4 separate regions of the Mus musculus genome follow, and regions 1, 3 and 4 are each reported to be linked to region 2. Evidence: microRNA targets listed by miRTarBase, many of them from high-throughput screens and not tested one by one. Region 2 holds a microRNA gene; each other region holds the end of a gene's coding sequence.

Evidence for each region. Region 2 holds the annotated microRNA mmu-miR-1a-3p (UGGAAUGUAAAGAAGUAUGUAU, at 901-922, opposite strand). A microRNA usually pairs through its seed, bases 2 to 8, with sites in the 3' UTR of a target mRNA and lowers its output. Matches are read on the target gene's strand: a 7mer-m8 pairs with bases 2 to 8, a 7mer-A1 pairs with bases 2 to 7 and ends in A, and an 8mer does both.
Region 1: the mRNA of Klf4 is a reported target of mmu-miR-1a-3p. Seed matches in the 3' UTR shown: 7mer-A1 at 2,534-2,540.
Region 3: the mRNA of Clcn3 is a reported target of mmu-miR-1a-3p. Seed matches in the 3' UTR shown: 8mer at 1,960-1,967.
Region 4: miRTarBase lists Ucp2 as a target of mmu-miR-1a-3p. The part of its 3' UTR that is shown has no 7-base or 8-base seed match.

What each region holds. Positions count from the first base shown.
Region 1 is chr4:55,525,300-55,528,437 of GRCm38, forward strand. It overlaps Klf4 (Kruppel-like factor 4 (gut)), which reads right to left. Exons shown (of 5, transcript NM_010637.3): 5 at 1,838-3,001. The coding sequence ends at 2,826. Among named protein-coding and RNA genes, the nearest start is that of Klf4, 5.6 kb to the right of the region's middle.
Region 2 is chr2:180,386,880-180,390,017 of GRCm38, reverse strand. Mir1a-1 (microRNA 1a-1) reads right to left here and starts at 970; the gene lies at 894-970. It overlaps Mir1a-1hg (Mir1a-1 and Mir133a-2 host gene), which reads right to left. Exons shown (of 4, transcript NR_045331.1): 2 at 2,314-2,484; 3 at 1,465-1,551.
Region 3 is chr8:60,910,614-60,913,613 of GRCm38, forward strand. Clcn3 (chloride channel, voltage-sensitive 3) reads right to left here. Exons shown (of 13, transcript NM_173873.1): 13 at 1-2,562. The coding sequence ends at 2,472. Among named protein-coding and RNA genes, the nearest start is that of Hpf1, 22 kb to the left of the region's middle.
Region 4 is chr7:100,498,765-100,501,902 of GRCm38, reverse strand. Ucp2 (uncoupling protein 2 (mitochondrial, proton carrier)) reads right to left here. Exons shown (of 8, transcript NM_011671.5): 7 at 2,987-3,138; 8 at 2,274-2,667. The coding sequence ends at 2,553. Among named protein-coding and RNA genes, the nearest start is that of Ucp2, 7.0 kb to the right of the region's middle.

The DNA of each region.
Region 1 (3,138 bases), not on the chromosome of region 2:
GACAGGTAGGTTATAAAAGCAACCACCATTATTTATTACAAAGAAAAAGTCATTAAGCATACTGCAGTTTTATTTTACATAGGTTAAATTCTTTAAAAAAAAAAGCCCAGGTGTATTTTACTTTTATTCTTAGAAAAGCAATTTTCCTGTACTTATTATTTGTGAGTGTTTGCAAATTGATGGGGAGGGGTAGTATTTGGTTCTCAAATCCATTTGGACTGAAATTTGAAGCCAAGCAAACTACTATTCACTTTTTCGTGTTTCTTTCCAATCTTTTTATTTCCTATTGTTTTTTCTGCTCCTCAACACACATACCCAAGCCACATATGACAGTGAGCATATATACATACAGCACTGGGGAGGCCGGGGCAAGAGAGTCCCTGGGTTAAAAGGACAGTTGAGTTGCAAGGAGCTCCAGGCTTGCCTGGAGCTACAATAAGCAAACCTACTTAAACAAACAAACAACAAAAAGCAAGGACAAAACCAAACAGGAAACAAAACACAGCCAGGTTTGCTAGAGCATGCCCATAACCCAGGAGTTTGGGAGGGAGAGGCAAGGTGACCAGTTCAAGGCCATTCTCAGCAACAGAGTTAGGATTGAGCCAGCCTGGGTGACAGGAGACAAGCCCAAACTCAAGTATACAATTGGAGTCTCGCTGTTTATTGTGTTATATCCTGCCTTCTCCACTTAACATACCATGAACATTTTTCCATGTCATTAGCTTTGCTTTGAATATATTCTTGACCACATAAAATTCCATCTTCCTGATGCACCTGTTTCCTTTTAAGCAAAGACACATGCTGTGGTTTCAATCACACTGGCCTCTTAAAAGTCAAAGAAACTACTTTGCCGATCTCCCATGAGCTCCTTGTGAATCTACGTTTCTAAATTCCATTTATAAAGCATAATACGGTGTAAATACAACTCCAGGCACTAGGTACAATGGATGGTTAATAAGCACTCTAAAGAATAAGCCAGTCAGCTTCTGCTCCTTTCATCTTCTGAGTCACCCACACCACCATTAACATGTCTACAAGTATCACACAGACTTTTCCATTTTGTGACAGCTAAAAATAGTTTTGCTTCAACCTGGAGAGGTGGCTACCTCTCCAGGGTTTTGCTCAGTTGCACCCCACCACTGGGCTACACAGTCCTGTCCTTCAGGGTTTGAGTAATTTTTAAATTGTTTCCATGCCTTCAGAGACATTCAGGAAGCTTTGAGATACTCTGTAGATAGTATATTTTGGATCTCTTTAGGGATAATATATGCAGCATAAATGAAGCCCTTAATCCTCAGGAGGGCACTGTGGAACTACATTCTGTTCTTAGGGTTGTTTGCCTGGGGAAGGTTCTTTTGTTACTTAGATTCTGTGGGGACTACAAGGCCAGGCCTGCACAGAAAATGATTCATAATTTCATTTAAAGACAAAATGTAACATGTACATATACACACACGTTTGTGTGTGTATGTGTCTATGTGTATAAATATAAATGTATGAAACTAGAGTGTTCTGGCCTACTGTTTAGTGCTCCCTGCTAAAATTGAGCAGATCAAAGAATAACTGAGCCACCTACCTGGAAATGTGCGTTTGGGTAAGGAGGTATACTTCTGCATTCGTACTAAACAAACATGAACCAGATGTTTTTTAAGGTCCCATCCGTACAGCTCTCAACTCCAACACTACTTCATGTAAAACTGAGTAGTCTAAAAAAGCAAGTTGCCTACATCCTCTTGCTAAGGTAAGGTTGGCTTCACAGTGTGGTTCTCACCAGTGGCCCCCCCCCCCCCCCCGTTAAAAAGTTCTTTTCCAGTTTCGAAAAAAAAAAACAAAGAGATTGTCGTTCAGATAAAATATTATAGGTTTATTTAAAACTTATTTCTCACCTTGAGTATGCAAAATACAAACTCCACAAAATGTTCATTTTTTTTTACTTTGTAGTTTACAAATATACAAAATAGAAGTTTGCTTAAATTTATATTACATATTTATTAAGGCAAGGAACTATATAGAAAAACACATTTGTTCTGCTTAAAGGCATACTTGGGAATAAACCATTGTACAAATTATTGCACATCTGAAACCACAGTGCATAACAGACTGTCTGCATAAAAATGTTACAGAAATAAACCAGGCTTATTTACCTGGCTTAGGTCATCAATGTAGATCGGAAGACAAAACTAGATTTTCCTTGTCAAAAGTATGCAGCAGTTGGAGAACTTTGGCTCCCCCGTTTGGTACCTTTAGAACCACGACTCACCAAGCACCATCATTTAGGCTGTTAGAACATGTTCTGTACCTGAATCGCTTCCTCTTCCTCCGACACAATAATGGCTTTTTTTTTTTTTAAGAAGGCAAAGAGCATACAAGGTGATCTTTACGTGTGTATTGCATCATCGAAACACAATTCAAGGGAATCCTGGTCTTCCCTCCCCCCAAGCTCACTGATTTAGTGTATACCCTGATATCCACAAACTTCCAGTCACCCCTTGGCATTTTGTAAGTCCGGGCATGTTCAAGTTGGATTTGGTATTGGAATGATAGAAGATCCATCCAGTATCAGACCCCATCTGTTCTGTGATTTTTTTTTCTTGTTTTTTTTGTTTGTTTTTTTGTTTGTTTGTTTTTAGTATTTCTGTTTTGTCTCTTGAACTCTTCCTTTCTCCTGATTATCCATTCACAAGCTGACTTGCTGGGAACTTGACCATGATTGTAGCGCTTGCCAGCTGGGCTCCTCCCCTCGTGGGAAGACAGTGTGAAAGGTTAGAAAAAAAAATACTGAACTCTCTCTCCTGGCAGTGTGGGTCACATCCACTACGTGGGATTTAAAAGTGCCTCTTCATGTGTAAGGCAAGGTGGTCCGACCTGGAAAAGGCCCTGTCACACTTCTGGCACTGAAAGGGCCGGTGCCCTGTGTGTTTGCGGTAGTGCCTGGTCAGTTCATCGGAGCGGGCGAATTTCCACCCACAGCCGTCCCAGTCACAGTGGTAAGGTTTCTCGCCTGTAAAGGGAAAGAGAACGGGCTGCTGAAGCCATTGCTAGAAGGAAGAATTAGCCACCCCCCTTTTTTTTCTTAAAAAAAAGGGAGAGGCCAGAGAGCAAATTCTACTGCATGCCCCACCCTCTCTCCTTTCAAGA
Region 2 (3,138 bases):
AAGGTGGCTTCAGGTTGAATTTGGTGAGAGAGTGTGAAGGAATGATGCTGAGGCTCTGATGGGGGCAGCCAGGGAAGGAATGGGCCCAGGGTCGGCCGAACGAAATAACCTATTCCCCCCACCCCCCCCCCGGGGTCCCTGGATGAGCTGCTGTACCCAGGTCCCCAGAGCCAACTCCTCCATCCAGACTGGGACAGCTTCAGACCCTGGGCTCCCTTTATCTGAATCACCATGGGTGGCCAGGATAGCCATGAGTAGAGCTGACACTGAGATTGTCAGTGAGCAGATACAATCAGCACACAGTGGGCAGCAGTGTCTGCGCAGGGCTCTCCACCTCCCCTCCCCACCAGGCCCTGTGAGCCAGAGGCCAGCAGGAGACTCATCCCTCAAAAGCCTTTACCACGTGACTACCAAAGTCTCTCCCCTCCCTTCATGCCCCACCACCACCACCACCACCACCACCACCACCACCACCACCAAGCACCACCTTTTAGAACTTGCTGCCTCTCCCAGTGGTCTGAGCAGTCCCTGCCCGGTCCCCACACCCTTTCTGCTGGAGAGGCCTCCTTCAGAGCACAGCAAGGATCAGTACAACTCCATTCCCAAGCCAAGCTTCCAGACCCCCAACCCTGCTGGCCCCGCTCGGGACCCCAGGCCTGCCAGAGGGCCTCCTCCCTCTGCCGCAGTCAGCACACTGAATATTTAATGTCTGACGAGCACTTCCACCTGCTGACACAGGCAAAGTGGCAGAACAATGCCAACAGGGACAGGGACACAGCCGGTACCCTTACAGTCGGCCTCCCGAGGCCCTGCCGGTCCATCGGTCCATTGCCTTTCCCGAGCAGCCACCCACAGGGCATGGGCCACCCCTCAGTCTGGCGAGAGAGTTCCTAGCCTGAAATACATACTTCTTTACATTCCATAGCTTAGCAGGTTCATATGGGCATATAAAGAAGTATGTGTCCCAAGCAGGTAGGTTCAGTGTGCACAAGAACAGGACTCCGAGGAAGTGGCCCTCCACAAGCTGGCCCCCTTTTGGTGTCGCCTGTGTCTCAGTCTCTCTCACACATGCACACTTGGTAAAGACTGGAAGCAGACAGGGCGTGCTGAAAAGTCTCAAAACCCTTTTCATCCCCACCGTTGCTTACACCTCCCTCAACGGAATGAGTTCTTTCCCATTCTTCCCAACAGAGGGAAGTCACATCCCAGACTCTAAGAAATAGCATCCAACTCTACTAACATCTTCTCTCTCCTTCCTGCCCACCTTGTCACCACCAAGGACAGTGAGGGTGGGGTAAGGAGACAGAATTCAGGAGCAGCTCCACCCACGAGCCATCAGGGACCCGTACCCCAGACTAAGAACCAGTCACATCCTTTTCCTGGGGACTTGAACAGCCCAGCTCCCTGAGGACAGATGAAAACAAGCAGTTTTGTGAGTCTCCAGAAATGAATCAAAGGGCTTACCTGGACAGGCGATGGCTCCCCTGGCAGGACCCTGATGAATTGTTTCCCAAAATGAGAGTCCCCGAGAGAAGGTCTCAGTGCCTCTTTCTTTGAAGTGAAGAAGAAAGATAGTGATCTTGAATTCACAGTGTCTAGGGGCTACTAAGAGGTGACCTACTCCTTGGCCAGCTCTTTGGGGCTCAGTCTGGCCTGAGAGTTGATGCCAAGCCAATGAGGGAGTTTCTATTCCAGCTACCTCCTTCTTTGGTCCCCTTCCCTCTTCTCGCTTCTGTACCCTCTGTCCTCCTGGTGACCTACAGTCTCCAACGCCATCCCCTGCTATGCAGCATAACCATGTAAGATGGTCGTAAGGAACCGCTCCCATGGAAATCTGGAGGCTATTTCTGAAGGGCCCTGTCCCTCACCTAGTTCCTGATCCATCAGTCCCTGATCAATAGTAGTTTGTAGCTACACAAAGGGGCTGTCCGCCTGTTTGCTGTACCAACTTCTGAAAAAAAAAAAACAACAAAAAAAAAAAACTATAGGCTAATTTGAAAAAAAAAAAGTTCAAGGGAAATGCTTGGGAAACTTAGTTATATTTTGTCTCTCCTCTTGATTTTTGAGATCTCGCCGCAAGTGAAGTGGAGGCTCCCTTCTGCCCTACCAACTTCTACACCCAGAGTGAGGAAGAAAGGAATGTGAAAAACAGAAAGATGGGCAGGACTTCCAGGTCAGAGCCTCAGCAGCAAAAGGGAGGCTATCCTCAGACTGAGAGAAAGAAGGGGAAGAAGAAAGCAGTGGTCTGGAGGGGGGGGGAGGAAGAGGAGGAGGGAGAAAAGGAGGAAGAGACTCACATGCCTGGGGACTCACCATCACCCAAGGTGAGCCTGCAGGTAAAGTGCTGGAACCCTGGAACAGGTGTCCCTGCAGGCGGCTACCTACAGAAAGAGCTGGAGACACCCACTGCAGGAGAGGTGGTGCAGGCACAGAGGGTCTGGCTGGGCTTGGACCTGGTGTGGGGCTGCAGGGCAGTCCCAGCTCCTGAAAGAACATTCAGTTCTTCCGTGTCAGCAGGACAATGTCTGTCTCTGGCATGACCTGACCAGCCCTGTCCCTGTGTGGAAACACCCCAGAGAGCATCCAGACTCTCCCATTCCTGGGAGGGCCCTGTCTCTGCAGAGCCTGCAGCATGTAGAGGTCCCCTGGTTGTGGCAGCTGTAGCTAGGCAGGGTGGAAAGAGGATTAGGATACTGAGAGAAGCTTGTGCAGCAGGAATGAGCGAGGGACAGAAACTGTGCCCATTTCCCATGTGGTTGCTGTTAAAATTTCATTTCCACATAGCCAAGGATAAAAAGGGCAGCCAGTCCATCAGCCTCAGCTTCCAGCTTCTGGAGGTACCCCTGGTGTGACTGAGCTCCCACTTAGGCTCCCTGAGAACTCTAAGAACAAATGCCTCTCTGCCCTCTGTCCCAACTCCCAGGTGTTCATGATAGCGTCTGTATGTCAAACAGAAAGTTGGGGGGACCTGAAGAGCAGAGATTGATTCAGTCTGAGCCCACATCTTCAGGAGCTGCTCATTCAGGAATGAATGAGAGTCACTTCTCAAAAAGTTTCCCACCTTGACAGGAAAGTGGTGTCAGTCACCTCCAAGTAGACCCCTCTGGCATCTGGGGTGGGGCCTTATCCTGAGCCCCC
Region 3 (3,000 bases), not on the chromosome of region 2:
GTACTCAAATGAGGCGCTGCACTTAGTATATTGGTCAATAAGTTTGCCAATTAGCTAGGCACATGTAGTTCATGGTATCCACTATCTTATTTGGTTGGAAATCAACCAAACCTTTATGAAAAGAGAAAAACAGAACAGATAGTAATACCCAAAAGAAAGAAAAAACAAACTCCAAACCTCTGAACGCATTAAAAACACGTCACTTTTCATGTGTTTCAGCAGTAAGACACATCAGATAGAGAAATGTAACAAAGAAAATGAATGCTTTAATATGGATCCTGAAATGTCAGTCTCTGAAGATGGGTCATGAAACCAGAATATGAAAGAAAAGGAAATGTGGGGGAAAAAAAATCATGTTCAGTTTCATCGCGTTAAACTACAAAGAAACTGGCGTCTCCTTTGAAGACCTGGAACTCAGAAGGGGCTGAGCCACCAATCAGCAGTGCTGAAGAGTTCCTACCCCAGCAGTGTCTTCCATACTGCAAGAATACTTTCAGAGCTACAGAACTACCATTAAAAATGAGTCCACTCTATTTAGCCAAAGAGCAACGAGGAATATTGAAATCTGCCATCAGGAGTAAAAAGACAAAATATCACTGGCAGACAGCAATTTTGGGGAACTTTGGATCACTCGAATATGGCTTCCTGATTTTCTAAGTCTTCAAGATCATACAGACCTAATGTGATTTCATATTTATTAAAAATGGCTCATGCCAGTTGTTTCAGAAAATATCTGTCTGCACAAATGCATTTGGCCTTTGAAAAATGCATACTTGAAGACTAGCTGGGCAGTCTAGTGAGTAAACACCCTTTGCCAGTTGGAAATTAAGACCATGATTAAAACACTGCCAATAACAACTCCTTATACTCTGAGGTACATTATAACTAATCTGTAAAACGTGCACCATATCTACTGAAATCATCACAGAACACTTCAGGGATGGCTGTGACCTACCCAGTGATTCAAAGGTTATAACCACACTGTGATTTTCTTGTTTTCATTTTTGATTGATTTTTCTTAAAAAAAAAAAAAAGTTTGGCTTTAATCTAGTACTAGTAATTTATGGTATTTTCAACTTTCTAGTTTGTGGTCAAGATGGACAGGTCAAAGGGCATAGGCCAGGAGATGGCAGTGAGAAATCAGAAGGTATCATGTGTACTCTGGGTCACGGACATGACTACCTCTTCTTAAACCCTTGTGCCCATGGTAATCTTTACTCATACCTCCATATTTGTAAGTCAGAATTAGTCTATTAAAAAAAGTCACATTAAAAAGGTAAAATTATTTATGTGCAATATTAACTGATCTGCATTTTATAAATTTTAATCCATAAAAATATAAATAAAAATGGTAAATTTTTAAGAAAAGAAATATACATTTAGTGCAAGTTATGAATTACAGTTCATCTCCAGTGTCAGCAGTGAAACATCCTGAAATAAAAGAATGATCTAATTTGAAGAACAAAATTCCAGTGTTTAACATGCAATTAATACCAGGTACAGCTAAACAGACTCCTTCCTCCTCTTTACAGTCACGGCAGCAGCGCTTGCTTTCGTTATGCTGAACAGCACTTCTCTGTCATAGTAGTCATCTCAGAAATAGAAAATTTGCATAAGACTAGGTCACATTATCCATAAAGTCTGAGAGGAAAAAATAAAACTGATTAGAGTCAAGTTTGTTTTAGATTCTGAACCACACAGCACACAAGCTGGGAGATTGCATTCACACCTCCAGATTTTCCCTGCTTGGCCAGCAGTGGTGTGTGCACACATTCCCAAGCCTTTAGTGATGGTACAGACTACATGGTTAATGGCACAAGAAACATTCCCTTCTTGTGATGAAACGTCAGTAAAATCACAGTACATCTCAATATGAGAAAGGACTGCTTCAAAAGGACACACCAGAGAGGTTTCGTTACAGCTCCAGAGGAAGGGGGAGGGAGGACAGAGAAGCTCTTTTGGAATGTAGAAAGGTGATGCGTAACTATACAATTCATGAGTTTAACACAACAGTTCTGGTATAAAAGGGCAAGACCTTGCAGTCTTAATAGATGGCTCAATTCAAAGTAGTCCCTCCAGAAGTAGGGACTGTAATGCGTCTCTGTGGTGCTGAGGGAACCGCCAGACGCTCGAGGATCCCAGGGACAGACGGACGGCTCCGCGGAGGCTCAAGCCTGCACTCCCACTGCACTCCTCAGGGAGTGCAGCCAGTGAGGTGCAGAGCAACATGAGATGAATTACTGTTCCAGGTAGCTAGGGAAATACCTCACTCTTTCCCTTCTCCCTCCCCAAACAATCCCTCTGCTCTCCCAGCATTATTTGCAAACCGGGTTGCAAAGCTCGCCTTGTATTTCCTTTTTTTTTTTTTTTTGAAAGAAGAAAAAAGTGGACGAGTCCCGCAGATTAAAGAATTGTGCTATTCAACAAACGAACTTCCTCTTCTGTCTCCTCTCTGTCCTCATCTACAGGACTCAGTTGAACATTATTGAAGCGGGGTCTTGGTTTGCCGTCTGGGCCATATGACGGAGGATATCTTTTTTTGTTATAATGCCAAGGAGGCGTCTGAAAAGGATAAACAGAAAAAGCTATTAAAATAAAAGGGAAAAGACAAGAGGAACTAAATCTATGGATAAATCCTTTTTGTTGACAGGAATAGAGAGCAAAGCAAGCAGCCTGATTGTGCTTATTTTAAAAGGTGTTTTACTGCAAAGACAATGAAATTACCCAGCAACCATCCTCTGACAAAAATACAGTGGCCACGTAGAGTGTGAGGCCCTTCCCACTGGGGCTGGGACGCAGGCCTCACTGAAGCAGGGCTGCTCTGATTCACGTATGCCAACAGAAAAGTAGCAAAAACTGGGACGATGTTTGAACAGAAAGTAATACTGATCCAGTTTGAAAAGGAACCTATTGCCATTATATTAGAAAACAATTTAAAACCGCAATAGTTTATAGAACCAAAATTTTTAAGAAATAATTTGCCTAGTTGTATGCAGACTA
Region 4 (3,138 bases), not on the chromosome of region 2:
ACACAGAGAGCCTCTGTCTCAAAAACAACCAAACCCAAAAAACACCTGGAGATAAAGACTCTGGGGCTGGGGCTCCAGCCAGGAAGCATCTCATTTTAACAGTCAAATGTGGGCCTTCGGTCAGATTCCTGGGCAAGTCACTTCATTTCTCTAGGTCCTTTTTGTGGAATAAAGTTGTTTTGCCTGCATGTTACTGTGCCATACACATGCTTGCAGTGCCCTCGGAGGCCAGAACTCCTGGAACTCGAGTTAAACAGATGGTTGTGAGCTATAGTGTGGGCCCTGGGTCTGGAACCTAGGACCTTTGCCAGAGTTGCTAGTGTTCTTGACTGCCAAGCCATCTTTCCAGCCCTCAGGATCCATCTTTGTTTTTGTTTGAGACAGGATTTCTTTGTGTAGCCCTGGCTGACCTTGAACTCACAGAGTCTGCCCCCACCTCCCCCACTGCTGGGATTAAAGGGGAGACTCCACTGCCAGGCTCTAGTTTTTACAGCAAAGACTTCAACCCCTTCATTACAGACCTGTGGGACCAGACGGTGGAGTGTTCACTGCCCTGTGGCAGGACTGACACGAAGGTGACTGTAACCTCCTGCTCTGAGGGTGACCCTCCAGTTCTGTAGAGAGGTTGGGGAACTAGGACTTCTGTCCTGGAGGGCTCTGTGGGAAGCTTGGCCTCAGGCCTCCACCATGCCCTTTATGAGATCCCTGTAACTTCTAAGGCAGCCAGTAACTGGGCTGCCTTAGAAGGCAAAGCAGGGCGTCTGGTGCATCCCTCTGGAAGCATTGCTAAGGTCTCTGCTATGCTGTTTTCTAAAGACTGCTGCCCCTTCCTCAGGCCAACTGACAGCATTCCTAGTCATGGAGTCTAGTGGTCTCACACCTATATCACATGTCTAGTGAAGGAGCTATTGGACACACTGTGCCCTCTCTTGACCTGTTTGTCAGCTGTTGGTAGTAAACTGTCCCTTGAAGGACCTAACACAATGACCAGATCCTCATTTGCTGTGCCCTTGTGTGCTGAAGCACCAGCTGCACGCCGGCCAACCCTCACTGCGGCTTGCTGCTGCCTCAGGACCGAGACCGGGGCTGGATTTACCAGAAGCTGAGGAGAACTGGTGCTCTTCTCTGGGAGCCAATCGAACAGCCTGGCCTCTTGCCAAGCACTGGGAAGGTCTAACTTTTTAGCTCTGACCCATTCTGCTAAAGAGGTGAAGGGGCAGAAGCCATCACTTTAGGCCGAGAGGACATCCTATTGTCTGGGCCCAGTTTCACAGCTGCCAGACAATCCCCCAAGGACCCAGCACTGTGTGTCTTGCCTTGGCGTTCGATGGTGACCCGTAGGAGATGTCTGAAATGTATAAAATGGGTCGTGGAGACTTGACAGGCCCCGCCCTGCTCTGGGAGGGACCTCACCGGTGGTTCCTGCTCCTTGAGTGGTCCTGCCTCCCTCTCCTGGCTGAGGAGAGCTGGCGGGAAAGAGGACTGACTGAAACACCCTGACAATCTAAGCGTTGACTGGTCCCCAGTCTTGGGGGAAAAGGTAAGGCTTCCATCAGAAAGGCTCTTCAGAGGTCGGGTGCTACAGGTGGCTGTAATCCCAGCCTTGAGAAACTCAGGCAGAATTGTCATGAGTTCTAGACTACACAGCGAGTTCCAGGCCAGTGTGCTAGTGTGAAGCCCCGTTTGAAACAACAACAACACCCCTACAGGCTAGATCTTGGCTAGGGAGCCTGAGCCCCCTTCAATGGGTCAGACCTGCCCTGTCCCCACCCACCCCCGGTTCAGAGCATGTCTCAGGGTGTGATTATAGCTGAGGCCAGCCTGCCTTGTCTTCTGTAGGTCTATGGCCTCAGGAGGTGGGTTGCTATGTGTAAAACAGAGTAAAGTAAGCTCCCCCCCAAAATGGAAGGTTCTGGAGTTTCCCTACATCTCCTAACAAGTTGATGTGGGAGGGGCAGGGATACTTCCACTCTGCAGATAGACAGGCCTGGCCAGTGTGGGTGGGAGTACCAGGTACTGAGTGACAGCTTACATGGTGTTCAGGAAAGGGTAGGAGGGACAAAGGCTGCAGTGTCCCCTGGCTGTGCCACTGATCTCTGGAGCCAACACTGGGTCTGGAGGAACAGACTGGAAGACCCTCCAGCCCCTCTCAGATGTTACAGGCAGAATGTGGGTCACATCCCTTTTTAAAGACACTGGGGTCCTCACCTGCCTGCCAAGGTCCTGAAAAGGTCCCTTGGACCAAGACCTCTGTAAACATATGAGAAAGAAGACACCAACATTGAGCTTGCTTTATGGGTGAAGGCTGGCTGAGCTGGGCTGGGCTGGGCTGGGGATGAAGATGAAGATGTGGGCTTAGCTGTAGAAAGGGCTGAGGGCTCAGGGTCTGGTGTCAGGCCTCCTCACTGTGAGTCATCAGTACAGAGGCACAGGGAGGTGAGGTGGGAAGTAAATCGGGGTGCAGGAAATGGGAAGAGAATGGGACTGGGCAGAGGATGAAGAAAAAGACAGGGCAGGGCTGGGAAGCAGGGTCCAGGTCAGCATGGAGAGGCTCAGAAAGGTGCCTCCCGAGATTGGTAGGCAGCCATTAGGGCTCTTTTGAGCTGCTCATAGGTGACAAACATCACTACGTTCCAGGATCCCAAGCGGAGAAAGGAAGGCATGAACCTAGAGAGAGCAAACACAAGTCATGGAGGTCCCTCCACCACCTGCTTCTAACCACTGGGCTCATCCATCCACCCAACCCATGGCCACATGCCCAAGAATCCCGAGTACCCAGCTCCCTACTCCTGCTGTGCTGGGGAGCAGAACCCAGGGTCTCCAAGCATGCTAAGCAAGCCCTCCACCACTGACCCACCCATCCCCAACCCCCAGTCTGAATGCTCATTTTAACTTCTAAAAAACAGAGGTGACAGCAACTATGGGCTGTCTGACATTTGGCTGCATCTCACTTCTCTGGAGTTCTGTGAGGGGATCTGAGGCTCACCCCTTGTAGAAGGCGCGGGGTCCCTCCTTCCGGAGCATGGTAAGGGCACAGTGACCTGCGCTGTGGTACTGGCCCAAGGCAGAGTTCATGTATCTCGTCTTGACCACATCAACAGGGGAGGCGATGACGGTGGTGCAGAAGCCGGCCCCGAA